2 linked regions of the Nothobranchius furzeri genome follow. The protein of the gene in region 2 purifies or fractionates together with the protein of the main gene of each other region. This does not show direct contact. Links are inferred from orthologs where the notes say so. Each region holds a gene or a part of one and is shown on either strand. Other genes may lie near its edges. The genes, in order: syk and blnk.

Region 1 (16,646 bases), on a different chromosome or scaffold from region 2:
AGAGAGGCAGTATCTGAAGAGAAGGTTTCAGACTTCACTGTGAATGTTCTGTTGGTGAGATAGGAAGAGTGCCAGTCTAGAGCAGAACCTGAAATCCCAGCAAGGGCATTTAACCTGTTTAGTTGAACGTTGTGGTCTACAGTGTCAAAGCTGCACTGAGGTCAAGCAGGATCATGACAGAGCATTTCCCTGCATCAGCAGCCATCAGGAGGTCATTATGCACCCTTGCTAGAGCAGTCTCAGTTGAGTGTTGCTTCAGAAAGCCAGATTGGAAGGGGTCAGAGATCTTTGACCTAGAAAACCAGGATCTGAGTTGGGTTTCAACAACCGTCTCAAGTACTTTGCTGATGAAAGGTAGCTTAGAAATGGGACTAAAGTTACTGGTGGAGCTGACGTCAAGGTTTGGTTTCTTTAAGAGAGGAGTCACTACTGCATTTTTAAAGTAAGATGGAACACAGCCTTGGCTCAGTGAGCTGTTGATTATAGTCAACAGAGATGGACTGATGGAGGCAAGGGACCCGACTAAGACAGAGGGAGGTAAGATGTCTGATGAGCATGATGAGAGTTTCATCTGACTGATTATTGAGGTTAAGTCATTTAGTGTAATTGGGGAGAAGGAGGTGAAAGACTCGGAGCACTGAGGGGCCTCCCCTCCTGAGGGGGGGAGGGCTGGTGGAATGCTAGATCTCAGATTCAACACCTTGTTTGCAAAAAAGTGGAGAAATCTGTTACAGTCATCAGCTGAAGATAGCTGAGCCTGCTGCGGAGGAGAAGACACGATGCTGGAGATGGTATCAAACAACACCTTAGGATTATTCTTATTTTGACATATGAGGTTTTTGAAGAAAGAAGACCTCGCATTTTCTACAGCTTCATTGTATGACTCTAGAAGTTCTTTAAAATATTCGCGATGAACAACCAGACCTGTCCTCTTCCACCGTCGTTCCGCTTTTCTATAGGAGCGTCTAAGATCAAGAATCTGGCTGTTCAGCCAGGGTGAACTAGAAGCACTGGAACTGCGGCTGGTTTTGTAAGGAGCGACGTGATCTAGAATTTTGAGGCAGTGATCATTAAATGAGTTAGTGAGGAGATCTACGTCATCAGAGGAAGGAGGTACAAAGTCAAAGAGGGAGGAGAAATTTAAAATGGTAGAACTGTTGATAATACGTCGTTGCTTAGCAGAGACTGGTAAAAGAGATTCAGAATTTAGGTTGATATGAAAAGAAACTGACTTATGGTCACTGAACACAACATCATTTATCTGCAGCTTATCAACAAGAAGTCCGTAGGAAAAGACTAGATCCAGGGCGTGGCCTGCTCTGTGAGTGGGACCAGACACGTGTTGAGAGAAGTTAAAAGAGTTCATCATGTTTAGAAACTCCCTGGTAGAGCTGTTAGATAGATCCTCAGCGTGGATGTTGAAATTTCCAACAATGATTATCCTGTCTAGTTTAATAGTTGAAGATAGGAGGTCCTGAAAGTCAGACAGGAAGGATGAAGTAGATCCAGGTGGGCGATAGACCAGAATTCCATAAACTGGTAGAGCTCGACCAATTTTAATCATGATCATCTCGAATGAGCTGTAGGAGTTTGAGGATATAATTTGGCATGAAAAGTGTTTCTTAAAGATAACAGCTGTTCCTCCACCGCGGCCTGTGGTCCGTGGAGCAGAAAAGAAAGAGCAGTCTTGAGGACAGAGCTCACGGAGATGAGTGATGCCATTTTTGTGCTGCCACGACTCAGAAATGCACAAAAAGTTTAATTTTTTGGTCCGGAACAGATCGTTGAGGATGTGAGACTTGTTGGCGATGGAGCGCGCGTTAATCAACATCATTTTCGCGGAGGAATCTGGCAATGTGTGTGCCGCGGGCTCGATAATGGCGGGCGGCTGGCGGGCTAAGCTACGTAGCGACTCCACGCTACTCCCGCAGAGGTTCTTTGTCTCCTACGCCTTCAGGTAGCGTCCTGCATCAGGGGCTCCATTTAGCAGCGAGATCAGCCCAACTCCGTTAAGTTTCTGTTGGATCCGCCACAACACAGCCGCGGAGCAGCGATCAGGCAGAGCTTCGCCTCTCATGATCTTTCGAAGCTGAACGAAGAAGCCGGCTCTCTTCCCCCATTTCCTCTTCCATGGCCTCCTGGGCAGCGGCAGGCCGACAGGTAACAGAGGGCCGAGACCTGGGTTAACGCCAGGTTCCAGAGGCGGTGGGAAAGCGGATCCGGTATCGGAGTTCTGGAGGTTGATCATCACGGACCTGATCGACAACAGTAAGGGACTCCGCACCAGATAAAGAAGAAACAATAAAAAACACCAAATAACCAAAAAAGATCAGGAGCCTAGCAAACGGACAACATCTCATGGGCGCCATCTTGTAGACCACTGAACAGGAACAACCTTTCTGCCTTTTCTTGGATGTTAAACTCAGAGTATCATTTTATAAACATCTTAGGATGCCTCACTAGTTCCGGATGTTCTGTGCTGTTGCACAAGTTTAGTTTTTATTCTAATTATTTTATCGGTACTGATCACAATGATGTACTGATGATGATCGGTACTGATTCCAATGCAGCTGAGAGCCTGTAACACAGGATGCCTTCTGGGTAAAACTCTGATTAACCATCTGATGTATGCTGATGACCTGGTGGTCTTCAGTCCAAGTGGTGCTGGTTTACAGCAGCTCCTAAATATCTGTTCTGAATTCGGTGTGCAGTATGATATCCAGTATAATGCTGTTAAAAGTGCTATCTTGATATGTAGAACCAAGTAGGATAAAAGGCTAAACTTTCCTGTGTTTAAACTGTCTAATAGTGATCTTAATGTGTGTGAGACGGTGAAATACCTTGGCCACTTTAAAAACAATCAAATGCGTGGAGATGCTGAAATCCATAGACAGTGCTGTAAGCTCTATGCACAGGCCAATAGGTAAGTTTAGTTTTTGTTCACTGTCAGTTAAGGTGGCTTTATTTAAAGCATATTGTACTCCACTTTATACAGCCCAACTGTGGTCATCCCACAATCATCATGAAGAAGCTGCATGTTGCATACAGTGATGCCTTAAGAATCTTACTCAAAATACCCAGAGGGGGCAGTGCCAGTCAGATGTTTGTAACAGCAGGCATTTGTACTTTTAAAGCTCGTTTAAGAAAACTAACATTCACTTTTAGAGAACGACTGGATAGCTCTGCCAACAGTATAATTTAGCAATCACTCATCCTGCTGTGAGCAGTTGTCGCTATTTGTCCTGTATAAGGAAACACTGGTTGAAGTGTTTGTGTGGTTACTCTTAATTGTGTAGAACATCTCTATAGTAAGTTTTAAAATAATTTATATTTTTATTTTATTTTCATGCTTTTATCATTTTTATTTGTTCTATTTGTTTTTACCAATTTTGTTTCATTATTGTTTTTAATGTTTTGTTGTTTTATATTTTTCTTTATCTGGACCTAAGAGTCTGTCAGTAAAGATTATCTATCTATCTATCTATCTATCTATCTATCTATCTATCTATCTATCTATCTATCTATCATCATCTATCTATCTATCTATCTCTCTATCTCTATCTATGAAACACATTTTTTAATATTAGCTTTTTTTATCCATAAAACTTGATTAAAACCACAATCATCTGCAAAAGAGTTAGATCCGTTCAAATCTGTGATCAGTACCGATAAAATAATTAGAATAAAAACTAAACTTGTGCAACAGCACAGAACATCCGGAACTAGTGGGGCATCCTAAGATGTTTATAAAATGATACTCTGAGTTTAACATCCAAGAAAAGGCAGAAAGTTTGTTCCTGTTCTGTAAATCTGTCTCAAGACAAAGGGGTTCTCACAGAAAACTCCTTTAGTTCACTCATTTGTAAGATAAATTTCTTTTTTCTGTTTATTTTTTTCTACATATTCAGCTTCATATTCTCTGCTCTGCTAAATCTATCCACTTCTTTCATTTTATTGTGCTTTTTGCTGTTTATTTTATTTGTTTTCTTCAGATCAGCTTGGAAACATTCGGATCTGTAAAACCTCTGCAAAGCAGACTTTCATCTCATCTTCAAACCACACAGAAAAATTTGGTGTTGATTCTAAACACATTTCTGCTGATTTGAAAAATGTTTTACCGGTGGCTAACTCCACCTGCTACAAGGCGATCTTTAAGCTGAGGAGCTGTGACTTGATAAAACTATTTTTATAGTTCAGGAAGTAAAAAAGAGCCAGCCGAGACAGCCTAGCAACAGAGAAGACCAGAGTTAGAGGAACTAATGCAAACTCATAAAAGGACCTGTCTGTCTTTGCTAGGACCCATCATAAGAGTAGCTTTCTACACTAAAAACTATATAAAAAATTATTTTATAAAATATGAAGCTCTAATAGTGTAGGTCAGATGATCTCCTCAAATCTCAAATGTTGAAGTTAAATTGAATGTATTATCGTGGAAGCTTGGTGTGGAAAGACAGCATCTCTGACTGTAAGAAGGGACCTTCTGCCAGGCTGCTGTGCTCTGTCTTATTTGGCTACTTCAGGAAGTCCTTTTGCAAACTGTCAGAGCGGAAACCACAGCACGCACGTGTGTGTGTGTGTGTGTGTGTGTGTGTGTGTGTGTGTGTGTGTGTGTGTGTGTGTGTGTGTGTGTGCGTGTGTGCGTGCGTGCGTGTGTGTGTGTGTGTGTGTGTGTGTGTGTGTGTGTGTGTGTGTGTGTGTGTGTGTGATTATTCAGCTGAGACCACTGCTGCTCGACTTCAACTGCTATAAATTCTCCCAGGATGCTTAGTTTAAAAAGCAAATGTTTAAATCCAGTGGTTTAACCGTTTCACATTCAAATACGTGATTTTAACCACATACAGACATATTTTCTCTGTTTGAGTTAAAAGTTGTAGTTTTTCTCACTTAATAGTATTTTATGTGTTTATTTTAAAATCAACAAGTTTATCATGGAAGTTTCAGGATTTCTGTCGTCCAGCAGCATGGAGGAGAAATGTGCCTGAACAGGTCTGTGTGAAGAAGTTGAGCCAAAAAGGCACAGAATTATTTTATGTGTGTGTGTGTGTGTGTGTGTGTGTGTGTGTGTGTGTGTGTGTGTGTGTGTGTGTGTGTGTGTGTGTGTGTGTGTATATACATATATATATGTGTGTGTCAGTGATTACTTTTGCAATGACCGTCAATAACAAAAAAAATGAAAGAGTTTAAAGATATAAAAATGGGAAATTTTGATCAAAACACGTCAGGAAAGGGGAAAAGAAAATGAAAAAAGCCAATCAGTGGATCCCTGGAAAATCAGAATTGGCAGAAAGAGCAGAACAAAGCTAACTTAGGTGTTAGCTAGCCATCTAAATTAAATGTCATCTGCCTCAAACTGCAAATCTATGGGTGTTTCTCAATGTCAAGGCGCCTTGCCTTGTGAGGCGATGTCTTGCGAGGCCAGGCGCCTTGCTTGCGAGGACACTGTCCTTTCTCGGTCAAAGGAAGGGGCAGCAGTAGCTCAACAGGTTGAGCGGATTGTCCAGTGATCGGGCAAGACACTTAACCCACCTTGCCTGCTCGTGGTGGTCGGAGGGTCCGGTGGCGCCTGTGCTCGGCAGCCTCGCCTCTGTCAGTGAGCCCCAGGGCAGCTGTGGCTACATCGTAGCTCATCCCCATCAGTGTGTGAATGTGTGTGTGAATGGATGAATGATACACTATAGTGTAAAGCGCTTTGGAGTCCTTACTCTGAGAGGCGCTATACAAGTGCAGGTCATTTATCATTTATCATTTAAAGAAAACGGTTAAATGGAACAGACTTGCATCACGTGACTGCGGCTTTTACGGCAGTCACGTAACGTCACATGACACGGGAGATATATGTATTTGTTTCAGTATAAATATATAACAAGCCTTTTACTTTTTAAATTGTGTATATGTTTATTAAATAAAAAATAAAAGTGAGTTACTACCCGCTAGCCAACGAAGCTGCAACTACTAAGCAACTAACCAACAATAGATAACTTCTTTGGATCTAAAAAATTGTCCCCGAAGTAGCTGCCGGCTTCTGATCCGCTGTCTTTTTGAAAATACTGCGGTGTATTGTGGGTAATTTTTGACCAAGGCTAGGCTACAAGACACCTCCCGTGTATCCTTGCTCTGCTAGTTAAGCGGCTAACAAACGGAGAACACACGCCTCGGTAGAACATGAACATTGGAACCGATTGGAACACGCCTTGGCGGCTCCTGATGATGTATATCCTAGGCAACCGGGGCGGGACCAAGACATCAAGGCAAGGTTTCTTGACATTGAGAAACACCCCATATCTGCATCTAACCTAAAATAACCCACCTGATTGGCCAAATGAGTGAAGGACTCTATTTGCATTGTGTGTAGCAAACGTTTGAGCTGACCATTCATAGTGTATTTGCCTGTTCTTTGCGATTTGTGTATTGAGCAAGCCGATATCTCGATGACAATACGTTTGTGATGTACTGTGCAGCCCTAATATAAAGTAAAATAAAGTAAGGCTCTCTAGCATGCACATATGACACACCAAACCTTTCAGCTACTTTCCTCTCAGTGTCAATATGATAGATCCAGGTAGAGGTTTAGCAATATTATTGTTTGTTTGGCACAAGTGGCTGCACTTCAATTGAAAAGATAATGTTTAAAGTTTAAGTATGCATGATAGGAGATGTGGAATGATGTTACCCAAGACTGTTTTCTTCCACGTTACAACACATTCACAAAAGTCATTCATGTTCATGGTTTGTTTTTTAACAAGAGGGCGACCCTGCATGCATTGGTGTTGGTTTAGATTGGTATCTGTTATTAAGTTGGACTATTTAATTTGGTATGTTGGATATCAGTAAAAAAGTCAATATCTAACATCTCTAATATTTAGTATTAGGAACATTTATTGTGAACATGGTCAGATACTTACAGGAACTTTCCATTTGTGCGGGAGCCGCACTGGAGCCGTGGCTCAGATTCCTCCCGGGTTATTGCTCCGTGGAACCAGGGCATTCGTTCATGAGCAGTGGTGGCTATGAGTTTCTCAAGCTGAGGTCTCTGGCTGATGATGGCCTGCTCAAGAGCTGCTCCCTGCAAGAACAAATATACTAATCATTCTCTAATATAAATACTAATATGATATTCAATATGCGTTTTGTAGTTGAGTTAAAATAGTTGTATATAGCCTGTTTTTGACATAGGGCCAAGGTGCTTCACAACACAATCAGTCATTCACACCCTAGTGGTGATGAGCTACAACGTAGCCACAGCTGCCCCGGGTGTGCATTGACTGAGGGGAGGCTGCTGGGCCATAGTGACGTAGTAACACCCAACTGAGTCCACACATACACACACCTTAGCTCACTGATACAGCCTGAATGTTCCAAATTGTGTTGCTAAGGTTTAAAGCATCAATGTCTAAAATCTCAGGTTTCAGCAGAAAGATGAATTCCTGCTGGACTCAATACCTGGATGAACCAGAAGTACACTTACCTGCTGCTGTGGATAATTAGGCTCTTGAATAACTACATAATTTAATGTAGAGTAAGACTCGTGGTGAGTTTATTGAATAACATCACATCAACCAAGGTGAAATTTAAGAGATTTAAGAGCTCTGAGCTGTTTTAGGACCAAAGCAACACGTTAGTCTTGTTCTCTCTAAGACCAGATACAACATCAGACTAGTTTATAGTCGATCAGTCCTGAAGGATGTAAATGCTAGAGAAACTAACCTGCAGGTTCCAGGTCTGCTTTACATACTGCCGGATGAGTTTGTCTTTCAAGTCCTCGAACGGCCCCACCTTTGGCTGCATGTTCTTGGGCCTGTTGCAGGGCTTCTTCAGCAGACACACAAGACCATCCATCTCCTGGGAATGGTAGTCAATCACATCCATGGGGGTTCTGTGGCTCTTACCACCGGCAATCGCAAACGTCTCATTGGGTTGTCGTTCAATGGTGTAGTGATAGATGCGGCCTGAGAATGAAACAGAGAGCGCAAAGCCGCCTAGATAGTTTCGGCTTTGTCGTAACAGATACAAGCCACTGGTCAAGCCTGACTGCCGCAGGTAGACCTCCGCCTCTTCCCTTGTGATGTTGCCGTAGAAGAACGGCAACGCATTCATGGTGTCCGCCATGTTGTTTTTTAGGTGCTGATGGCCTCCAAGCAGCCTTGTCACAAATTTCAGCCTCCAGCATAAAATTAATCTGAAAAGAAAATAAGAAAAATAAAATACTTGTGAATGACTTTTAATTTTCATAAATAATCCAGAGCCTCAAAACTGGAAAATCACAGAAGACGGTGGACAATTAACTGTCCAATGTTGTTTCCACTTCTTATGCCTAAAAAGGAGACATGAAGAAGGAAATAGTTACTAACTGGTCTTCTACAAACTGAGCTGAGATTCATGCAAAGAACTACAAACATGTCTGAAAACAGATTGGCACTAAGTAGCCTAACCATATCTGTGATCCTAGAGAAGGGATCGTTTAAAAAGCCACTACTTTAAGACATTTCACCTCATCCATTAGTTCTAATCCAGGGTTAGAAGTGTTGGATGAAAACACACGTTAACTAGGGTTGTTTTTTGATATCAGGTGAGTTTCTGATTCACCCTTCCTTTGGGTCTTCATCTTGTCATCACTAAATTAGATTATTTTCATGTTCAGCCTGCATGAAAATCTCAGAGTTATTGAAATAATCATTAAAAAAGGAAACCACACCTTTAAAATGCACAAATTAATTTCAGATTTAAGAATCAGAAAAAATACTAATTTAAAGGGTGTGAGCAGTTACAGTGTAGAAGGTGCAGGATACCAGAGATATAGATCCATCCACCAGAGACAAGGGAGATGAGTGAGAACCAATAGAGGACATCAACTGGAATTTGACCTTTTCAAAAATCTATTATCTTGTTGCAGCGGAGGTTCCAGACTAACATTACAGGCTCTGATTCTGTTGGTGATCGGTCAGAGGAAGAAGAAAAGATTTTTTTATAGCGTCTCTCAAGATAAAATCACAAGGCGCAGGAGGCGCCCTGGTTTAATTCATTGCTGTACATTTCAAAACAGACTTAAAGAAAGTTACAGAGAAAATAGCGTTCCATAAAGAATTTTATTTAAGCTAGAGAGACAGCTTGTTATTAACGAGAACTTTCTCTGCTGAGCTGGAGCTGAGTATAATTCATTAATACGTAATAGAGAAGAACAAGAACAACTCGGGTTTTTTTCTTTTCTTTTCTATAGCCAGACTGGTGGAGGGTCCTGCCTCTGTTGAGCCACGTATCCCTACAGCCATCAGGAGGGATGATGTCATAAAATCCTTCATAATTAAAATAACCTCAAGTAGACACTAAATTCCCATCATCCTCCACTGTTATTACTCATCATTAACAAGTTAGACAGATTTAGAAGCAACAGAAGAACCTGGTTTATGTTTCTGTCCTATTGATCTTTATCAGATGACAAAGCTTCATCTAAACCATCAACATGTCTGCAAACCCATCAAAACCAAACTGTTTAAGGAGGTTTATCTCTATTAACACCTCCATCATGAGCCTGATTAACATCCATAAGAATTAACAACCATTAAAGGTCCAAAGTGGAAAGAGTTGAGTACAAATACCTAATAATATTATTATTATTATTATTATTATTATTATTATTATAGTAATGGATTTGATTTACATGGCGTTGTTCTAGGCAGTCAAAGTGCTCACCATTATTCATGCACTTTCACACTCACACACTGCCGGTGATGTACAGGACAAATGGCAGTTATTGACCGCAAACTGACATTCGAGGCAAACTGTGAGACTGTCTTTAAAAGGGTAAATCTCATTCTGTCATAAGCAAGGGCAGCAGTGGTCTAGTAAGACAAGAAGAGCAGCAGCTGAGCCCTGTCACATTGTTTTGAAGACAAGTACAGAGGCTGGATCCATGTGACAGCTCTCATCCACAACACCATGAGTTCCAGCTCCTCTCATCTGGACACAGACACACACTCCCATGATACAGAACCATCGACATATAAATATTGGACAATGGGTTACCATACACTCCAATAATAAGTTTTTGTGCTAAAATGGGAGTGGCCACCACCGCCATTTTGACCGTGTCACAGGTTCCGTCAAGCCCAGACAATTCCACAAAAGGGAAGAGAGGTGGAGCTGAGGGTGGGGCTGTAAGGCTGGGATCAACTGACGACACCCGGTCAAACTAGATACAAGCTAACCTGAAGCTAACCCAAAGCTAACGCGGAGGTGGGAGCTAAGCTAACGGAGGTAGCAACCTAGCTACAACCGGAGTTAACTGTGCACAACACCAGAGCTTCTGAGTCAGAGATACACCGGGCTGACCGCTGGGTAAAACCGGGTAGAACACAGAGGTCTCCCGAAAGCTGCTGAAAGCCGGCAGCCGCGCAGCAGACAGAAGCGGCGATCAGACAGAGATGCGCCGAGCTGCGGGGAGGGGAGAAACGGGTGGAAAACATCGGTCTCCCGAGAGCTCCACAAGCCGATAGTCGGAACCCAGCTCCACCAACATGTTCTATTTCAACCCATTTTCTAAAGTGCAGCATTATGTTAAATGCACTGGGTTTTACCCTATTACATTTAAATTTCATGGTTAAACAGTACATGTTAAAATCTAATCTCAGCTAGTGCAAGAGCGGCAGTGACCTAAAATACATAAATATAACTTTACTTACTGAAAAAAATGAAGTGGAGACTCCTTGGACGCTCTATTAGTGCAATTAATGCCATAGCAAGTAATTTTGTCCAATCAGACTGAGGCCTTTCCCCAGAGCTAGCTCTGCGGTCACGTAGGTCTGATGCTCATTAATTATACAGAATTTTAGGCTTTTAATACACTTAAACAGAAGAGTGAGAAAAAAATCCACCCCCCTCAGAGTTGTCATGAGTGTAAACTAGATAATTTAAACCAAAAACATGTTTTGGTACCAGGCTGTAAACATGTTTATTTCTGCTGTGAAAATTGGTATTTTTAACATGGGAGTCAATGAGGATTTGCTCGCTTCTGACACCAGCCCCCAGCGGATGAGGGTGCAACTGCAATTTATTTCACTTCCAGGATTGCTTCAGTTTTTCACCCGCATTGTGGGGGCTTGATCCAGAATCGAACCCAGATCCTCTGCACGTAAGTCCGACATCTTACTAGGCGAGCTAGAGTGCCAGTGACATTCTTTCTATCTGTAACATTTATATCCTTGATCACAGCTGAAACAACATTCAAAGAATGACTCGGAGGGCTTTGTCTGAGCGTGAACGCGCATGAAGCAGCCTGCTCGACCCGAGCAGCTCTCTTTTTCTGTGATTTTACAGAAAAACAAGCAATCACAGTAAAAATGCCAGGGCTCATTCTACGGGACCAGGGCATTGCAGGATAATGTATGAAGAAGAAATTTATTATTTCTACACATATTTTGGCTGTCAAACTTCCATATTGCCCCTTTAAATATTCTGCCTAAAACTGTCAGCGATGCACCGTCGTCGGGCAAAAATTCTGCACTGTATTTGAATTTAAATCTGCCACCGCTATTGGCTAAGAGGCATGCTATGATGTTAGCTGGTACATTATGATGTCACAATGCCATTGTGAGCCTGTGTGTGTTTATTTGTTAGCGGCTTCACCCTCTCGGTCTGCCAGGCAACAGCATTTGTTGCATTTTTCAAACCTGAAGTGGGAGTGAAGTAAGTTTCTTGTAGGGGGTGACTTGCTCTTTAATTACTGAAAAGAAAATGGATGGATGGAAATCAGTGGACCCCAAGAAAGGCAGAGTAGTTAGAAAGAGCTGAATAAGGAGATGGTGATGAAGGTCAAACAAAAGCCAGCTTAAACAGTTGAGTTTTCAGCTGCTTTTTAAAGGAGACCACTGAGTCCACTGATCTCAGGCTCATGGGGAGAGAGTTCCAGAGTCTGGGGGCCACAGCAGCAAATGATCTGTCACCTTTTCTATGTAGGCGATGATGGCAAATTAGTTAAGTGCTCGCCCCATAATCGCAGGGTTGTAGGTTTGAGCCCCGCACAGTCTGTCATTGTTGTTGTGTCCTTGGGCAAGACACTTAACCCACCTTGCCTGCTGGTGGTGTTCGAAGGGACCGGTGGCGCCTGTGTACAGAAGACATGCCTCTGTCAGTGTGCCCCAGAGCAGCTGTGGCTACAAAGTAGCTCATCACCACCAGGTTGTGAATGTGTGTGTGAATGGGTGAATGACTGATTGTGTTGTAAAGCACCTTGAGGAGTTCCTCAGTTGTGACTTAAAGAATGGTTGTGCAGTGCCTGGTGCACTGCACAACTGTAGCGTTGTGGTTTTAGGCTCTTTTATGAAAGAGGAACCATACTACGAATTAATTCGGAATATTAATTTTTAATAAATCAACCATTGTAAACCATTACGCTTTGGTCACTGGACCTCAGGGACCTGCTAGGGGTGTAGACACTGAGAGGACCACCAATGTATGATGGTGCTTATCCATGAAAAACACTGCTACCTACAGTAAAACATGGTGGTGGTCCCATCATGCTGTGGGGCTTTGTGGCCAGTGCAGGGACTGGGAATCTAGTTAAAGTTTAAGGACACACGGATTCTACTCAATTTCAGCAGATCCTGGAGACAATGTCCAGGAATCCGTGACAAAGCTGAAGCTGCACCGGGGCTGGATCTTTCAACAAGACAATGACCCTAAATGCTGCTCAACATCTACTAAGGCATTCATGCAGAGGAACAAGTAGAACATTCTGGAATGGCCATCTCAGTCCCCAGACCTGAATATTATTGAAAACCTGTGGTGTGAGTGAGAGCTGTCCGTGTTCAGAAGCCTTCAGCATCGGACTAATGCTAAGCATAATTCTGCGCACACGAAGTGTTATGATTCACCCCTTTTTGTGTTTGTGTTTAACTTTTTCTCTGTTGTTTTTTGTTCAGGTCAGCTGCAGCTCCTCTCAGGAATCCTCCCCTTCCCTGTGAACCTCCTGGAGTGCTGCAGCTGAACCACATCATCTTGATTGCCCTTACCCTATTTCAGGCCACTGCTGCCAGTCATCAGTGTGGAGTTGTCTTTGCTGAGTTGTACTTGTATGGATTGAGTTTGGTTTTGGTTTTTGGTTCCCACAGTCAGTGGAGGAGGTTTTGTTTATTAAATCTTTTTTGAACTCTGGATAAAGGATCTTTATTCCTGCAAATGGGTTACTGCAGAGGCAAACCGTGACATTACAACTCCACCAAGATGTCTGACCCAGCAGGAAGAACCCAGAGACAAGACCCTTCCTTACCTGCCTCTGGTGAGAGTGCTGCAGGAGAAGCCAGCCTTCCTGTTCTGACCCAGGAGCTCCGCAGCTGCATGTCAGGGTTGCAGCAGTTGCATGGACGTGTAGCCACTGAGACGTAATTTTGGGGGGGGGACGGGTGGGACATGTCCCCCCCACTTTTTCAAAAGGCAGTTTTGGTCCCCTGCACTTTTTTCCGTCCAAAATCAATGTTACGCTCCATTAAATGGATTTGGTTGAGCACTAGGACCGAAACGGAAACCGGTTTACTATTAGACCCGCCCAAAAGCTAATCTATTGGCTCTGCTGATACTTGCTAACGTATTATTGGCTGTTGCTGCTGTCACTCAAGTTGTAAACAGTCAGAACGTGCTCACGTTGTTTTGCTAGTTTGGAGCCGCTAGGGAACACCGGTACTGAGTCACATCGTCAACTAGACGCTACATAACATTTGAATAAGTGTTCATTTGTGAGTCTTTGGTAGTTAGGCACAGCCAGGAGGCAGCATGTCAAGAAAACGAAAAGTGGATATAAGAGACTTCTTTCAAAGTCAAAACGTAAGTTGGACATGTGACACCCCTGCATTAAGCTCAGACTCACCTCCTCCTTCACAAACATACTCAAAACTAACTTTTACAAACTCATCTCCTCCACATAACTGACTCCTCAGACACAATTTGTTCGTATTATTATAATAATTATTTTTTATTATTACTATTATCATCATAATTATTATTACTAGTAGTAGTAGTAGTAGTAGAAGTGTAACTTCAAAACTTTTATCATTTAACTTTATTGTAAACTTATCTATTGCAATGTATATTTTCACATTAAAAAGCTCTGAAAAATGAACAGTATCATCATCGTCAACAGATTTTTTTAAGCTTAATGTCAAAGATGTACACTTTTCATTAGATTTATCTTATTTTTTCCATTTATTTTTTGTGTGTTGAAATGCAACAACTGTTTAAACACTTTTAAGGGAAAAAACATATTTAATATGTTTTTATACACTCAAATGTTAGGGTGATGATCATGTGTAAAACATTAGTTCAGCATGTCCTCTAACACAGCAAATGAACAAACGGCCAGATCTCAGGAGAGACCGTTTATGTATAAATAATTTTTATACTTTTGACTAGGCCTGGGAAAGAAACAAATTTTGCTGGACGATATTTTGTCCAACAAATTGTTGATGATAAACGATATTGTCAACATTATCTAGACCAAAATAACCACTAATATAATGTTAATATATCATAATAATGCAAGTACACCCTTTAAAATGCAACAAATAAACCTTCATTTAACATTGAAATGTCCAGAACCAGAACTTCTAAATGAATAAAAATAACAAACAAAAATTGAATAAAAAAGGAATCTCACTCCCTGTTAGAAAATGTTGCACCAAAAACAATAAAAAAGACCCAAAAACAATAAATACAATGGCCTATCCATTGTCAACAGCCAAAACTGCACTTCAATAATGATAATAAATAAAAATAATAATAGAGTTGTACATTTTTTAACTTTGATATATATATATATATATATATATATATATATATATATATATATATATATATATATATATATATAGAGAGAGAGAGAGAGAGAGAGAGAGAGAGAGAGAGAGAGAGAGGATGGAAAAATTATTGAGATGGGCACGTGACGTGTCAAGGGGTCTTTACATAACACCCCCCACCCCAAATCCGCACAAGCCTGCTGTGTCCCCCCCCCCACTTCTGAAATCAAAATTTCGTCCCTGTGTAGCCAGACTGGAGCAAGCGCCTGCTCCCCCTCGACAGGTTCGTTTGGGTCGTCCTGAAACTTTTTCTGGTACCGCAGAGGATTGTCGACCATTCCTCACCTCCTGCCGGCTCCATTTTGACTTTAATCCAAGCGAATTCCCCTCGGAGCAGAGCAAGGTGGCTTTTGCCTTGAGTTTCCTGACGGGCAGAGCCAAGAGGTGGGGACTGGCTGAGTGGGATCGTGGAGCGGAGGTGGTTCGTTCCTTCCGGGCCTTTTCCACTCAACTCCTCGTGGTGTTTGATCCCTCAACACCGCACCGCGCGGCTGCTTCTGAGCTGCTCCGGCTCAAACAAGGAGATGACAGCGTAGCGTCCTATGCAGTACAGTTCCGGACGCTGGCGGCAAGCTCCCGCTGGCCTGATGATGCACTGGTCGACGTCTTCCTTCAGGGGCTCTCCAGCGAGCTCAAGGACGAGCTAGCCGCGAGGGAGGTTCCTGAGGAGCTGGAGGATCTTATCGATCTGGCTGTACGCATCGATCGGCGGAGGATGGAGCGCCTTCATGATGAACTCCGCCCACTGACTTCTTCACCTCGTCCTCACCCGATTTCTGTGAGTGTTTCTCACCTGGGCAGTGACGCCCCGCCCTCGGAGCCCATGCAGCTAGCGGGTCGGGTGTCATCCTTTTCTCCGCCCTCACGACCACCCACCAGTGTGCGGTTGACATATGGGACGAGACACGGTGAATATGACACCCTTATTGACTCCGGCTCTGATGGGGATCTGATGTCCCAGGCAGTGGTAAGCGAACTTTTGATTCCAGTCGAGGAGGTGTTTCCTGCATTGTCCATCCATGCCGTAAATGGTTCCCTTATCCACAAGGTGACTGCACGCACTGTTCCTGTCACTGTGACGGTCTCTGGGAACCACACAGAGCGGATGTGTTTTTTTGTGGTTGACTCTTTAGTGCCTCCTGTGATCCTGGGTTACCCCTGGCTAAGCAAACACTGTCCCCATATTGACTGGGTTTCTGGCCGCGTGTTGACGTGGAGTCCTTTTTGTTTATTGAACTGTTTGTCTGCTGCTCCTGTTCGCCCTGTTTCTAGCCAGCCTCCCTTGGAACCACCTGACATCAGTAATGTTCCCCCCGAATATACAGACTTGGCTGCAGTGTTCAGTAAGGTTCGTGCTAAGAACCTGCCCCCTCACCGTCCTTACGACTGTGCTGTGGACCTCCTTCCTGGTGCTCAACCTCCTAAAGGCCGTCTCTATCCTCTGTCCATCCCTGAGACAACAGCCATGGAGGAATACATTCAGGAGGGCTTACAGGCAGGCATTATTCGGCCATCCTCATCACCTGCGGGGGCAGGGTTTTTCTTTGTGGGCAAGAAGGATGGGGGTTTACGGCCGTGTATTGACTACAGGGGTCTGAATAGCGTCACGGTTCGTAACACTTACCCCCTGCCTCTCTTGCAGTCTGCCTTTGACCAGATTAGAGGGGCTCGGGTGTTCACTAAGCTGGATCTACGGAACGCTTATCATCTGGTGCGCATACGGGAGGGGGATGAGTGGAAAACTGCTTTCAACACCCCGTGCGGCCATTTTGAATACCTGGTGATGCCTTTTGGACTGACAAACGC
Region 2 (16,784 bases):
TAAATATTGTTTCTCTCCCTGTCATTTTCCTCTTTAACACTCATAACACAGGTAGGCTACAAAGCACACCCTGTTGTAACATTTGGGGTGGCACTGACCATCGGAATCAAAAGTACTCATGTTGTTGGGCCTTTGGAGTGAAAGAGTGAAGGTTATAGACGGGGCAGAAGTGGACTGGCAATCTGAGTTCTGGAGAACCCAAGAACGACCAGTGCTCTACTCCAAGCCGGTGGATGAATGCACCCCCACCCCCCTCGCGAGTTGAAAATCCCCGTCAGAGATCGAGATAACTACAGCAGCGATCAGATTTCTCCAACCCGCTCGGAGTTTGCTAATGATCTCTATTTCTGTTTGGATATATGTCCAGCTCCATCCTCCTGCCTGTCGCAGCATTTAACCATTGAACCACTGGCTGTTCAGGTGCTGCTGCTGTCATTGCGGGAACGTGCACAGTGTTGGATAATTCGCCTTTTTTGTGTGTCTTCTCTGTCTGTGCTGACGGGGCTGAAAGCGCTGTGCGTCTCACAGCAGTGATGCACCTTTGGCGCAAAATGCGGACCTTCTTGGAGCGCGTATCCGACGTATCGGGAGTGGCTGCGCTGGGCACGGACTGTGGATGGCTGATGTTGGAGGGACAGATTTTTTTTTAGAACTCGGAGATTTCGACTAATAAATGACCCGAAAAACTACAGCTGCGCACTGCCTAGAAAAAAGTATTTAAAAAAGGTATGCCGAGAGGTCACAGAGTTTGAAGTGGCAGTGCATGTTGCTGCAAACCGAACCCACTTAAAGCACAGCTTTCAGTCCATATATTCAGACTTTCACTCCATATATTCAAACTTCGGTCCATATATTCAAACTTCGGTCCATATATTCAGAAGTATTCTGGTATAAATATATAATAATTTCCTGAACGGCATGCCATATATATATATACATACATATATATATATATATATATATATATATATATATATATATATATACATAGGTGTATATGTGTGTATAAATATGGAACAAAGAACTATGAACTAGTTCGTTTTTGGAACAGTGAACTTAGATAAAAACTTTTTGAATGGAAAATGAACGAGTTTGTTTTCAAATGTATGAACTGAACTTTGAACTAGTTCGTTTTAGTTGACGGATCAGCACGGATTGGGATAGATTAATTACGCCATTATTGGATCTAGAGGGGTTGTAGACCAACAGAACTCTAAAGCCGGGCGTACACTGTGCGACTTTTTCACTTTTTTGAGCCGATTTTCCACTCGTGCGAGAATCGACAAGATCAGGGCGAGTTTTGCGCTGAGCGTCGTGTAGTATACAGGGGGTTACGAGAGGCGATTAACACCACGTGACCAGCTACGGATCAGCAATCGTGAGCTCGCACAAACTTCTGGCGTGTTTGAAATTTTGCTCGTCCCTCGTGAAGGTATCGCACTTTTGAAGTGGCGCTGCGAGCAGCTGCGACCCAAAAAGTATCAGAACTGCTCACAGCGCATGCGCAATCATGCATCAACGCTGCTCGCCCGCTATTTCTCTAATAACACATGTTGTTCGTTTTTATTTCTACACGTTTTTTTACTCACAAAGATTGTCAAGAAAGCGTGTTTGTCGTGTTCATGTTAAATTAAACTGATCACAAAACACAGATTCAGTTTCTTTATTTCGTTTTCCTCATCCAACCCCCATCAATCCCTGTGTGTCCCCCTGCAGCACTCCCGAAGGACAACAGGCAGTGTTAATTTTGTTGACAAAATATTTTCGTCTTTTTTTTCATCACGAAAATATATTTACAGACGAAAATGAAACAAAATTTCAAAATTAAACCTTGGAAAAAGACGAAGACGATAATTAAATCTATTGAAACTTTTAGTCAACGAATGAAAGACGAGACGAAAATCCACGATGACGCTCTTCTACATGGCGCTCTATGGTGCGGTGCGACTATTGTGTTGTTGTGAGACACGAACGTAGTAGAAGACAAGGGGCGTGGCGTGCCGTGAACGTGCGGGACGTGAGCGAAGACGGATCCCGAATAGTATATAGGGGCAGGTATGCGTGGCGGTATGCTAAACATAGCTCACTGAATATATCGACGGCATAAGAAGAAGGAGTAGAGGAAAATGTTAACTGCTGGGCGAAAAAGAAGAGAAGATGTGTGGAGTCATTTTTCTTATGATAACATTGCTACAAAAACTACATGCCGAGAGTGTGGACTGTCGTTCCGAGGAAAGAACACAATGAATCTGAAGAGGCATCTACAGAATGGCCACTTTGCCATTTTCTCCAAGGTAAATCCACTTAAATGTTGTACACGTGACGACCCGAAAAGTAATATACAGGCAAATAAAACTGTATCAACTCTTGGGATAAAAATTCGGAAGTACCGTATTTTCACGACGTGGGTTATTAGGGAAATACCGGGTGAGCAGTGTTGATGCATGATTGCGCATGCGCCATGAGCGGTTCTGGTACTTTTTGGGTCGCAGCCGCTCGCTGTACGTGCGCTCTAAACCAGGACTATACCTGTAAAGTGAAGCATGCTGTTGGCTGTTTATAATTTTCACAATGTCTGGTTTGCACTAATATGATCCGAGTCCCGAGCTCGCACAGATGTTTTACCGGTTCATTTCATAACGATATGTATATATAAATATAAAATATATATATATGTACATATATATATATATATATATATATATATATATATATATATATATATATATATATATATATATATATATATATATATACATATATATATATATATACATATATATATAAAATGTATGAAATCTCAAAAAGCAACAGGTAAATCATTGTTAGAAAGTCAATGTTTTAATTGTGTATTTTTATTTTTTTGCAGTTGCAGAAAACCATTGCTGATGGTGGCCAACCAGCTACCAAAAAGGCAAAAATGTCCAACCAGAACATTGAGGACGCATTTACAAGTACTACAAAGTACAAGAGTGATGCCAAAGAACAACAAATTAAAGAAGAGGCTATCGCTACATGGATTGGATGTACAGGATTGCCGGTCACAACAGTAGAAGATGAGGATTTTATTCTGATGATGGAAAGTTTGGATAAGAAGTTTACTGTGCCAAAGAAAACCAAGATAAGTAATCTAATTGAAAAACACTATGAAAACAAAAAAGCTACATTTAAGAAAAGACTGTCTAGTGCCAGAAAAGTATGTATTGGGACTGATCTGTGGACTAAAAAGGGACTGACAGCATCATTCCTTGGCATAAGTTGCTGCTTTTTCTGTGTTGAACAACAAAAACCAGAACACTTACTGCTAGCTCTTGAACAACTTGACCATCCACACACTGCCCAGTCCATTAAGGCTTGTGTGGGAAAGTGCATGCAAGAATGGGGGATCCTAAATGAGAAAGTTCTCACCGTAATAACAGACAATGGTAGCAATATGGTGGCAGCATTCAAGCATAGTGCTCCAGAAGATGAAGATTCCAGCTCCGATGATCCAGATGCATCCATCCTAAGTGAAAGTGATTCCAAGGAGACAGAAAACCTGCAGTGTCAAGACCTAGGCATGTACAGGATGCCATGTGTCATCCATGCGCTGCAGCTTGTTGTCCACATGATAAACAAGGAGGAAAGCATCAACAGAGTCTTGAACACAGTACAATTAATCGTGAAACTTTTTCGCAAGTCATCAGTGGCAACACAGAAGATTTTGGATGAGTGCGGCCTAACTGTTGTGAATGACTGCCCCACACGCTGGTCAAGTACTTATGAAATGGTTGCACGTCTCCTCAAAGTTAAAGAATCTGTTTGTGAAGTAGCAGACAAGATGGGATGGGACTGCTTGCTCTCAAGTGAGTGGCAGAAGCTGAAGTCAATGCAAGAATTTTTGCAGCCTTTTGCTGAACACACACAAACTCTTCAGAGTGACACAATGTCTATGTCATTAATACTCTCTGCTCTCTTTGATTTACTCAACCATCTGGCAGATGTGGAACAAAACACAAGTCGAGATGTTGCTGCTCTAGCACGTAAAATGGAAGGGAATGTGAACCAGCGTTTTGCCTGGGTACTTGATCCCTCAGATGACAAGTTTTCCCCACTTGTAGCAGCTGCTTGCTTTCTCAATCCTACTGTGGGAAACGCAACCGAGCAAAGGTCACACTAGCACAAAGTGCTTTTCTCAAAATGAATCGCACCAAATAAATATTCACACTGTTTGGTTGAGCCTGTGTTGTAACAAGTGAATATCTATAGACTCAGGGTTAACATGTTTAAATTTGCTGTTCTTGTAAATTCTTGTTGTGCAATTGCTAAAAAGAGCACCTTTGTAATTTCCAGTGTGCTTTTTGTTTTTTATTAAACACGTAAGTGTTAAACATGTGAAGTGGTTTTTTAAATTCAAATATTCTATGTTCTTAGCTGTGTGCTATATCTGATCAGTGGTGGTTAAGAGTTTGGACCCTGTGTATTAAATTACACTAGTTTTTCCGTGCTCTATACAAAAGTAGGAAATTACTTCATTCGAAAAAATATATGCATTTTGTTGACTAAAATTGCTTATTTTTATCGACTAAAATTACTTGTTATTTTCATCGACTAAAATGGGACTAAAACTAAAATAAATCTAATGACTAAAATTGGACTAAGACTAAAATTAATTTTTAGCCAAAAGACTCAAATAAAATTACAATTCCCTGTCATAATTAACACTGACCACAGGCAAAACAAAAACGTGTTGTGTAAAAACGGCTATTTTCAGCACATTTTTAGGTCCGACGTGTTGCCACCAGACGTACAGTGTAAGCAGTCAGGTCGCATCCGAGAACTGGGTCGTACAGTGTGAGCACATGACTCGTGAGATCTGCCGTGCGAGGAAGTCATACAGTTTGAGCTGAAGCTGAGTGCTACGAGTGAAAAAGTCGCACAGTGTCCCCCCAGCTTAAGGCAGAGAGGAAAGTATCTCTGTCTGTCCCCAAAACAATTTTTATCTGAATCTGGTGCCCTTGGAGCCTGTGAGGATGAAGTGATACCCCCCCCCCCCCCCCCCCCCCCCCCCGAAGAAATGTGGAATGCTGCCGTCGCTATGGAAACTCTTTCTCCCTATCCCAGCCTGGGTGGGACTGTGACCGGTGAAGGCCGTGGAACCATATCTAGGCGTCAATGTGCTCTCTAACCCATTATCTCCCTCCCCTGTCCAAACGGAGGTGATGAGCGCTGCCCCATGCGGCTGCACGCACTGAAGTGAGGAGAGTCCCAACCCTACCTCCCCACCTAGTGGACACTTATGTTGTGTATGTCTGAAGTCTGTGTGCATATCTGTCTGAGGTGGGTTTTTTTGCATAGCAAAGCTGCCCTCTCTGTGGAGGGTAACTCTGAAGTGCCTTTTTCCCCTCCCCCTAACTCTATCCTCATATAAACCTTCTTGTTCTATTAAGGTAGCGCGACTCGGGTTGCGAATGACCACAGTCACCAATTCTTGTCATGTGTCTATGTATGTATGTCTGATCTCAGAATTGTATGTACTGAAACTCTAATTTCCCTCTGAGATTTATTAAGTATGTTTGAATTTGAATAGAAATTTTTTTTTAAACTTTCCCAACACTGCATGGAAAGTGTACCCAAAACTTAAACTGGGATTTCTCAAAAACTATAAAAGATATGAACATGAGGCTTTAATATACTAAAGCCTCATGTCATCCATCCATTTTCTTCTGCCCATTAGGGGTCGGGTCGCAGGGGCAGCAGCCTAAGCTGGGAGGCCACTTGGAACATGAAAAAATCCTAAGGCGTTCCCTGGCCAGCCGAGAGACATACCGTAGTCCCTCCAGCATGTCCTGGGTCTTCCTTCTAGGCCTCCTCCTGGTTGGACGTGCCCGGAAAACCTCACCAGGGAGGCATCCAGGAGGTATCCTGACCAGATACCCGAGCCACCTCAACTGGCTCCTCGTGTCATGTGACCCATTTAAACTTTGAATGACATTTCTAATTTAAAGCAAAAAAATCTGCTGTGTTTATGATGTAAATCATGCAGGAAACATGCTGGAATCAGAATGCAATGCTGGAATATCAGCTCAACTACAGTAGGTCCAACAGGAGCCAGCAACTCTGAAGATGCAAGAGTGATATTCTGGCTACAGAGGTTGGTGGGGTCTGAGTGACTTTTCATTAACCCGGTAAAAGGTTGATGCAGTGCAGCTGAAAAAGGTTTTCTAGGCAGTCTGAACCAGGTGAGTCTAGATTTAACGGTGGACAGTGAGTCCGACTTACGCACGCTTTCACGCCACACCTCAAACATGTCCCACAAACAAATGAAGCCTCTGAACTGAACGTGCTTCATTTCAACTTCTGTAGTCTTTGTTTTCTTTGCTCTTTGGTTCATCATTCCACTCAGACGTGCTTTGCTCTTTGCTTTGCTTTTTGTAATTTTAGAGTTCTTCTTTTATTTTAGACAACTAACTGGAAATTTCTTCTGCCAGTGAAATGACACTTCCTGTAAGTTGCAACAGCAACTCTCTCTCTCTCTCTCTCTCTCTCTCTCTCTCTCTCTCTCTCTCTCTCTCTCTCTTTCTCTCTCTCTCTCTCTCTCTCTCTCTCTCTCTCTTTCTCTCTCTCTCTCTCTCTCTCTCTCTCTCTCTCTCTCTCTCTCTCTCTCTCTCTCGATGATTAGGAATAAATATTGTTTCTGTTTTTAAAATTTCACCTCAGCTCAAACAAATTAGGATTTAGTGTTTTCATCACATTTAGCTTGTATTTGCTTTAACCCTTTGATGCATAATGGTCACTACAGTGGACAGATACACAAAATTGTTATTTATTTATTTTTGCTATTAAGCACAGCTGTTGAAGACTTTAATGCATGTGAGCCCCTCCATTTGGGCTTCAGCAAGTCAAGCCAACATATTTCATGTTCAGAATGCACGCTGTCCACTGAGATGGACGTGTAATAAATTATTTGTAAATTAACAAAATGTTACAAAAAATATTTGTTGAAATTTGTTTCATTCACACCTAAAGATGAATGGAAAAAAATGCTTAAAAATCATGGTTGAAGATTTCATAATTCATGCATCAAAGGGTTAAAACATCTGCATCTTTATTCATTGAATGAGTTTCCTGTCCCTACTCTCTAGGGTCCTGGTACTTCATGACCACGAAGATGATGAACGTGCAGAAATGCAGGTCCTAACCCCCCCAGGCAAACACATTACAGGGTCATGAGCACATCCTGTGTGCAGACACCAAGCATTCGTGTCTTATGGGATCTTTCATGGAATAGAGAACAATGGGCCGAGTCAAACACAATGGAGTTCAATGACTGGGACCAGTTTATGATGCTTTTACAGAATCAAACTGATAAATATTTTTTCGCATGTATATATTTTTATTTTACCTCTGTTCTCATCTTATATTTGTTTCTTTTATCTGTTATGCCAACTAGGGATATAAGGAAATATCAATAAGGCAAAATATCGCAATAGTTTTTCCTGTGATGTTATATTAATATTCAAAAGCCGAGTATTGGACTTTTTGGAAGAATTTACAAGAAGCATTTGTGTATTTTCTTTTCTTGTGATGCAGTTCAAACACCAACCACTAGTTAGCAGCAGTGTTCAAAGGGTTTTGTTTCCACCACTGAAATGTGATTCCCTCTGTTATGGTTCAGATTCTTAATGTTCAACATGTTACGTACCAGTTTGGACTGATTATTGAATTTTCCTACAATAATTCAGTCTAAAAATCGCAAATGTAATAATTTATCATGATACTTCATGTCACCAGAATTTCACCAATACACATCCCTAATGCCAACTATACCACTTGAGTGTCTTCCATTCTGTAGCCAAAGCGAAGACACTGCTAGCTCACTTCTCATTTTATCAGATCATCTTTTTTATTATGGTTGATCACGTGCCAACAAGACTTACTGACAGGGTTCGAATAATGCAGGTGCTAAGGGGGACCGGTTTCCCCCAAAAGTGTGATGGTTCCCGCAAAAGCCCTCAACCAACACATGAAAGGAGGACCCTAAAAATGATGGATTTTCAACTTATATTACATTAATTTTATGGACTCTACGCATACCATGTGTTCTGTCACAAACCCCCCAAGGTGCTTTATAACACAGTCATCCACCCATTCACACCGTAGTGATGATCACTTGATATAAGCCACATGTTGACGCAGCAGAGCTCAAACTCAGGCCCTGTCCACACGTAGCCGGGGATCTGCCAAAACGTAGATATTTTTCTACGTTTTGGCCTGTCATCCACACGAAAACGGAGTTTTTTCACACGAAAATGGATCTTTTTAAAAACTCCGGCCAAAGTGAAGATCTGTGTTTTCTCTGTTTTGGGTGGCTGCGTGTGGACGGACGAAACCGGAGTTTTAAGGTCCGCAACGTCACTTTCCGCCACAAAAAAATGCTGACATCACGTGTGCGACCTGTGTTTACACTAGCCGACAGCATGGATGCCCTCAGAGCTGCGCTCGCTTTATCACTTGTCCGAGCGCTTTTTGTTTGTTTTTGCAAGCGGAATTACTGCTCCTTGCGAAGACCACAGACGAAGGACGAGGTTAAGAACGGGGGAAGTACTGCCGCCTACAGGTCTGGCATGTCCTTAACAACGTATTTATCCGGGTACGTGTGGACAGAGTTTTTTTTAAAAGCGAGGTGGTGTGGATGCAAGTTTTTGGAGGGGCGGATACTCATTTTTTTAAAAACCCGGCTACGTGTGGACTAGGCCTCAGATTCCCACCAGGCCAAAATGAAACACTGGGACAAGATTTGTGTCTAAATGACTGAAAAGATGCACATTTCCCCTTCGCTCCAGATAAGTATTGTTCATTTGGTTAGGGTTAGGAAACAAACACTGAACCAGATTGCACACGAACAATTACATTTAATTAAAATACACTTCCGTGGTATTAGTTAGTTGTGTCTCAATGTTTTATTTATCTTTTTATTCCTTAAGTGTGTGCATATTCAGCTTCTTCGATTCTGTTTTAACCTTTGAGTGTTAAGAATCTTTTAAGTATTTCTGTTCTATCTTTGCTCTTATTTTTTATTCTCCTGATTTGCTCTTGTAATGAATGTCATCGCTGCTGTAACTTTCCCACTGAGGGACAATAAGGGGATTTTCTATTCTATTCTTCTACATGTAGCCTTTCCAGTTCCTGTTTAACTGAAGGTAAAATCATTTTTAATAAATAGTTCCCATACAATGAAAATGCCATATTTCAGTTATTAACTTTCATCCATTGAGTAGAAAAAGTGCATGAAACCACAATAATTCACACTTGGTTTGCTCCAGTCTGATATAGTCTGAAGCTCACTGGTTTAAGCCAGGCCTGCATTGGTGGCGTTAGGCTCCGAGCTGAGGAAGGTGTTCATTGGTGAGACGACTCCTGTGTTGAGTGTGTCCCTAAACTGGAGCTCAATCAGCTCTGTCTGGAGGTTGGTCGGTGCCCTCTTCACATTAATCGTGAAAAGATTACTGAGCTGTAGAAATCTCCTTTTCTGGTTCTTCAGAGTGGGCTAATGGCCGGGTAAACTCGGAGTATCTTCAGTTTGCCCCAGAGTGACGAGGGTTCTGCTGCAGACGCCGACACTGCTAGCATGGATGCTAATGACTCTAAACAGAAAGGAGGGGGCCCTTTGACTGATATGCTAATGCTGCAAAGCACTATGGGATTTGTAGGATTTGTGACAAATGCATCAGCTGGCCAGTTCTAATTCATATTTGATCTCATGGCCATTTATAAATACACCACGGGCTAGATTTGGCTCGAGGGCCTGAGTTTGGTCACAAAGCCAGACAGAAACTTTGTGTCTGACAGAAATCAGAGCCTTGCAGCTCCCACACAGCGAGGAGAAAAAGCAACAAGAAGGAACTCGAAGCAGAAGTACGAAGGCTTATACTAACTTCCACTTTAGGAGGGAAGTAGTGCATGCTGTTGTGTTCCAACGTGTCATGTTTCATATCCTGCTTTTGTCCTTTGGTTATGCAGAATCACGCTTACCGTCATAAATATCCGACTGATTAATGAAACAACTCAGTTTCAACAGGTAACAAGGGAAAACAAGAAAGTAAACAGCCTGTATTTGATATAACGCCTTCTAGAGTCCTGGAACCCCCCAAGGCACTTTACAACACAGTCATTCACCCATTCACACCCTGGTGAGGATGAGCTACGATGTAGCCACAGCTGCCCTGGGGCACATTGACAGAGGCGAGGCTGCTGAACACAGGCGCCACTGGTCCCTCCGACCACCAGCAGCAGGCAAGGTGGGTTGAGTGCCTTGCCCAAGGACACAACAACAGGGACAAACTGAACGGGGCTCGAATCTGCAACCTTCTGATTACGGAGCGAGAACTTCAGTCCTGTGCCACTGTCGCCCGAATGAAAACATGAAAAAATCATAAATGAATACAAATGAGTTCCTCAGTTAATTTGTTGGACCAGCTGTTTTATAACCCAGTCGTAACCTTTTCTGCAGGATTTGCTAGTTTGTCTGTAATCCGGAGCTCAAACGACATGACTGAGCAGACAGAAACAAGAACTTAAATTAGAACCTGGAGAAACTCACCATGAGTCTGTGTCCATTTATCTTTAATCTGATCACAGTTGCAGCACATTCTTGCATTTTATTCTGAGGATTACAAACATAACCTTCAATTCCATCGTGCTTTTAGTCACAACATCGACTACTTAATCGTTAAATAATGAGAAAATGGTCCATTTTTTCTTCTAATTTAACTCACCTTGCTCATAAAAACGGCTACTTGTGTCTGGTCCCACCCCTCACATTCCTGTCTGGTCGGCAGGTTCATGTCTGTGTCTATGGGAACGTTGGAGCAGCAGTGTTCAGCAGGAAGTTGGAGTAAGAGACTGAGCTCTGCATCAGCACACACAGGGAGGTCACCTCATTACAGGAACAACCATTCCCTCACTGGCTCTTTACATACACTGTGTTGTAACACCCCCCCCACCCCATCCCAGGTTATGTTGCAGCGTTAGCAAAGGGGAAGCAGGAACTTCCTAATCTGTGAAAACCTCAAGAACCCGAAGGTGTCATAATAGTGGAACTGCTCTTCAGCCCTGCCTTCATGCACGCTTCCTTTACTGTAAACCTGTAGGACTGCCAAGGCACCAATATTATTGCACCTTTACTCCAATTAATTCCTCATTCTGTCAGCATTTGTCTCTTTCAGACCCACAGCTTAAAGAAATGTTCAACATATGAGTCACAACACGCTTGAACGGTATTTCTGCGTCATGCAGCAGACAAAACTAAGAAATTTTGTTAAACCAGGTGAGAAAAATCACACCCACCTCCCGTAACTCTCAAACTCAAGTAGACTTGCTGGAAGAAACTTGATTCAGCGTTTAAACTGGTCACAGGAGTTTGGACTTTACATGCCTGACTTGATTGCTTTTACATGATCACAGCACAGGTTTGGTTTCTATAGCAACACTTGTTCCTTCTGAAATACATTGGGCTTCACATGCCTGTTGAATGTGCAAACATTCTTATAGACCCTTATGATGATTACAATTAATGAAAAAGCGTGCCCTCAAATGGATGCACATCACCAATCTACATGTGTTTTGTGGATTTGGAGAAGGCATCCCACATTGACCCTCGGGGGGCCCTGTTGGAGGCCCTGTGGGCCCTGTGGGAGACCCTGTGGGAGGCCCTGTGGGGGGTACTGCAGGAGTATGGGCCCTCTGATACAGGCTGTTGGGTTCCTGTATGATCGGTGTCAGCGCTTGGTCCACATTGCAGGCAGTAAATCGAGCTCAGTCCCAGTGAGAGTTGGACTCTGTCAAGGCTGTCCTTCATTCTGTTCATAACCTTTATGGACAGGATTTCTAGGTGCAGCCAAGGTATTGAGGGGATCTGTTTTGGTGGCCTGAGGATCAGGTCTCTGCTTTTTGCAGATGGGGGCCTCAACTATCGCCACACGTTGTGAGGCTGAAGAATTGCACATCAAACCAGACGATCAGTAACATTGGAGCACCACAGGGGACTGTACTCTCACCATTCCTTTTCACCCTGTACACCTCAGACTTCCAGTACAAATCAGAGACCTGTCATCTACAGAAATACTCAGATGACTCTGCAGTTGTCGGGTGTATCAGAGATGGACAGGAAGCTGAGTACAGAGAGCTGGTGGAGCGCTTTGTGGCATGGTGTGGAAACAATCATCTGACCTTGAACGTGAACAAAAGAGATGATTTTAGACTTCAGAAGAAACAGGGTGGAGTCAAACACCGTTTCCATCATGGGAGAAGAAGTGGAGGTAGTTGAGGAATACAAATACCTTGGAGTTCACCTGGACAACAGACTGGACTGGAGAAAGAACAGTGAAGCTGTTTACAAGAAGGGACACAGCAGACTGCACTTCTTGAGGACGCTTAGGTCCTTCAATGTCTGTAGCAAGATGCTGCAGATCTTCTACAAGTCTGTTGTTGAGAGTGTAATCTCGTCAGCCATCGTCTGTTGGGGTAGTAGCATCAGAAGCAGGGACCTGAAAAGGCTCAACAGCCTAATAAAAAAGGCTGGTTCTGTTCTGTTAACAACCAGGCTCCAAGCTACCTATCTGAGCTTTTATCCCCACACACCTCTTCACGGAACCTCCGATCCACATCTGAAAACCTCCTGGCTGTTCGTCGAACCAGACTAAAAACCAAAGGGGACAGGGCCTTTCAGTCTATTGCCCCCAGACTTTGGAACAGTCTACCTTCAAATCTCCGTCTCTTGAAATCTGTAGAGGTCTTCAAAAAACATCTTAAAACTCACCTTTTCATCCAGGCTTTCCCCTGCTAAATATTCTAAAAGATGGCCTTGTTCTTGTTCACACCTTGACTTTGTTTTTACGCCTGATTTTGGTTACTATTGTTGTCACTGCTTTTGTTTTTATGATGTATTTATTGGTTTGAGGTATTTGCCCTGATTTTACTCATGTTGTACAGTGCTTTGTGATTTATATCTGTGAAAGGCGCTCTATAAATAAACTTTACTTACTTACTTACTTCTGGGGACGACTGTGGAACCACTGGAGGAGATAATGCAAAGAAGGATTCTCCAGAGATTCAAGAAAATTATGGACAACCCTGAGCATTCTCTTCACAAGACTGTCCGACAACAGAAGAGTGTCTTCAGTCAGAGGCTTCTTCAGTTTCGCTGCAACACTGACCGCTACTGGAGATCCTTCCTGCCAACAGCCATTGTAATATACAATAACTCTTTGATGACTTGATTATTATTCTGAGCTACTACAGCAATCAATTTCCCTCTAGGATTAATAAAGTATTTTTGAATTGAATTGAATTGAATTGAATGTGGTCCTGTTGGCTTCATCAGAACGTGATCTTCAGCTTTTACTGGAGCGGTTCGCAGCAGAGTGTGAAGCAGCTGGGATGAGAATCAGCTCCTCTAAATCTGACACCATGGACTTGAGTCAGAAAAGGGTAGAATGCCTTCTCCAGGTCAGGGATGAGGTCCTGCCCCAAGTGGAGGAGTTTAAGTATCTCAGGGTCTTGTTCACGAGTGAGTGATGGAGCGTGAGATCGACAGGTGGACTGGTGCTGCATCTGCAGTGATGTGGGCGTTGTACCGGTCTGTCGTGGTGAAGAGAGAGCTGAGTCGGAAGGAAAAGCTCTAGATTTACCGGCTGATCTACGCTCCTACCCTCACCTATGGTCATGAGCTTTTGGTTGTGACCGAAAGAACGAGATCACAGATGCAAGTGGCTGAAATGAGTTTTCTCCGCAGGGTGGCTGGGCTCTCCCTTTGAGATAGGGTGAGAAGCTTGGTCATCCGGGAGGGGCTTGGAGTAGACCTGCTGCTCCTCCACATTGAGAGGAGCCAGTTGAGGTGGTTCAGGCATCTGGCCAGGATGCCTTCTGGTGAGGTTTACTGGGGATGACCAAGGGTGGTGGAGTGTTGCCCGACTGGCCTGGGCCGAGTGAGGACCACCATGGCCTCTCTTGTAGATTCATCCATGACCATCACAGCCCCTTGATGCTGCTTCTTCCTGTTTAACTGCATATTTATTCTTGAAGCTACAAGATTAAATCTAATGAAATTAAGTAAAATAAAAGCTATTTTTAACCAGAAAGCGTTTATTTTTTAAATGTGACCATAATCAGGATTTATTTTAAAACTGACATTTAGGTCTAGAAATGGTTTTCGGACATGAATCTTTGGGGAAAGAAAGTACTTTGGCCTGTTTTTAAAATGCTAAATCAGAACTTCTCTTTACTAAAAACAGGAAGAAAACAAAACAAAGTAAACGAACGGTTCGGTGGAGCTGAGGTTGAGGATCGATCAGCGCTGTCTGTGTGCTCCTAACCTCACACAGTAAACTCTTTTCTTTAGATTGTTCTTGAAAACCTTTGAAGGCATCTTACTAATATATTGTCTACAGTACATTTAATAAAATATTCACCCAAAAATGTCAAACAGGTATTTGGTCAACCTGGGAGTGAAGATGGACAATGCCCTGATGTCCATGTTGGTACTGTGGTGTTTTCAGCACCTGAGATGGGTGGCTAAAGTCTAGACAGGATGGTGAGACGGTTGTTCATGCTTTTATAACCTCACACCTGGACTACTGTAACATGGGGTAGGTCAGAGTACAGTAGCTCCTCTGCAGCTTGTGCAGCAAGATTCTTAGGTGGCAAAAGAAAGTTTGATCACATCACACCTGTTCTGGCTGCCTGTGGACTTCAGCATTGGGTTTTAGCTCCTTTTAATGGTTTTAAGGCTTTGAATGGACTGGCTCCAGCTCATCTGATGGAGTTGGTGCAGCCTTGTGTCCCTGCTGGTGGCTCCTAGAGCTCGGCTAAAGACGAGAGGGGACAGGGCGTTCTCCGTAGCAGGACCTGAAGACCCACTTTTATGGGTTGGCTTTTAACTCTCTGGGTTAGATGTTGATCTTTTACACAATTTTATCAGTTTTCCTCATTCCTGTAAGGGTCTCTATAAAGATGATGATGATGATGATGATGATGATGATGATGGTCCAAATGATCCAAAAACTACTTGGAACCGCAGCTCTGATTCTGCAAACTTTTTCTTTACGTTCATCAGAGTTTAGGCTGATGATGTGAGAATCTAACAGAAGCACAGGTGTAGGTGTTTCATCTGAAACAAATCTATGGTCTTTGAATGATTCCATCTTAAATCTCTCATTCACTCATTTCTTTAAACCTGCTGTGGTCTCTAGTATGAATGAATGAATCCTCGTTCTCTGTGGGGAAAAAGCTCTGGAGAACCTGCGAACGTCCAGCATGCACATGCATGCTGAGGGTGACCCATGGTATTTCTCTTCATCCGATCCATGTTTGGCTTTTAAATGTTTGATTCTTGCCAGCAGTGAGAATCTATTTTCTAGAGGTTTAAACTTTAAGCCAACTAGAGGTTGTAGAGTTCTTCATCTTCAGATCTCTCTTCTGCAAAGCTTTTGTTCCATTTTGTACTGAGGTCTGTGCCAAAGTTGTGGTTTTTATTAGCAACCAAAGTGTTGGGAAGTTTATTGGTCATGAAGAAACAGAGGTCCATTTTGTAGCTCCGTGTTTCTTCACCAGGCTAAAATAATGATGATGCAAAACAAAAGACCTGGGGTCTCATTTATCAAGCTTGCTTACGCACAAAACGGGGTCGGAAAACTGCGTAAGCAACTTTCCACGCAAACTTTGGGATTTACAAAAGAAAACTTGGCAGAAAAATGTGTGCAACTTTAAGTTGACTAAGGACCTGGCTTACGCACATGTTGGACATGGAGAGCACCTGCAGTGCTGCTGCTGAGAAGATACGATTATGAAATCCTGCAACATTATCACTTGTACACACACACACACACACACACACACACACACACACACACACACACACACACACACACACACACACACACACACACACACACACAGAATGCTTATCTTTCCTAAAATGTCCACTGAAGCTAATAATTTCTGAAACATTTACAGGCAGTAGAAGAAAACTGGCATTTATATTTTGAACAACCGATATTTTAGTTTTGTCCTATAAAAGTGTTTCTATTTAATCACAGTGAAGCAATGAGCCATCAGAGGATTACATTCTCAACACAGTCCAACACCCACAAAGAGAATCTTGCAGAAGACCAGAACTTAAAGTGGATCAAGCAACTTGAACTTCCCTCTATGAAGATCTGGTTGTTGTAGTTGATAACTGTGGATGACATAAAAAAGAACTACTTTTGCTCTCAGTGTCTTGTTAGGGTTACCATGGCAACCATACACCTGTAAATGACCCGGTCCCTCCGACTACCACCAGCAGGCAGGAGGAGTTAAGTGTCTTGCTCAAGGACACAACAGCAGATCAATCCTGCACCCTTTTGGTTCCTGGAAGACCCGCTCTACCTCCTTGATCCCACAACAACCAACCAATCAGATGGCAAATGTTGATGCAGAAAACAGCGGTTTTCTAAACATCTGATGTATTGATGTCTGTGTGCACGTCTCAGACTCTTATTGTGAAGGACTTCCTGTGTGCATGCTAATTCAGGCGTGGTCTTTAATGGGAGTTTATTTGCACCAACAAATAAAAGCCTAAATGTTTTTGGACTGATATCACCTGATGTAAATAATGAAAAGATGCATTTTTAAAAAACGTATAAAAATACATGCATTTGTTTTTGCAAATGAACTCTTGTTTTGTGTTTTATTCTGGAGACAAACACCCAGAGCCCTCGAATCACGCAACGGTCGAGTTTAGGGGATTCACTTCTTTAGCTATT

The links.
Region 1: the proteins of blnk (region 2) and syk purify together in Homo sapiens (affinity purification with western blotting; 3 studies listed by BioGRID and IntAct, with this or other methods). This does not show direct contact. The link is inferred for Nothobranchius furzeri from reciprocal best matches to the Homo sapiens genes BLNK and SYK.

Annotation. Positions count from the first base shown.
Region 1 is NC_091746.1:36,405,082-36,421,727, forward strand, and holds the start of syk (tyrosine-protein kinase SYK), read right to left. Parts: upstream 8,364-16,646; 5' UTR 8,230-8,363; coding exon 7,705-8,229; intron 7,064-7,704; coding exon 6,903-7,063; intron 1-6,902. UniProt on the Homo sapiens protein: Non-receptor tyrosine kinase which mediates signal transduction downstream of a variety of transmembrane receptors including classical immunoreceptors like the B-cell receptor (BCR).
Region 2 is NC_091752.1:13,567,827-13,584,610, reverse strand, and holds the start of blnk (B-cell linker protein), read right to left. Parts: upstream 10,927-16,784; 5' UTR 10,827-10,926; coding exon 10,758-10,826; intron 10,646-10,757; coding exon 10,583-10,645; intron 1-10,582. UniProt on the Homo sapiens protein: Functions as a central linker protein, downstream of the B-cell receptor (BCR), bridging the SYK kinase to a multitude of signaling pathways and regulating biological outcomes of B-cell function and development.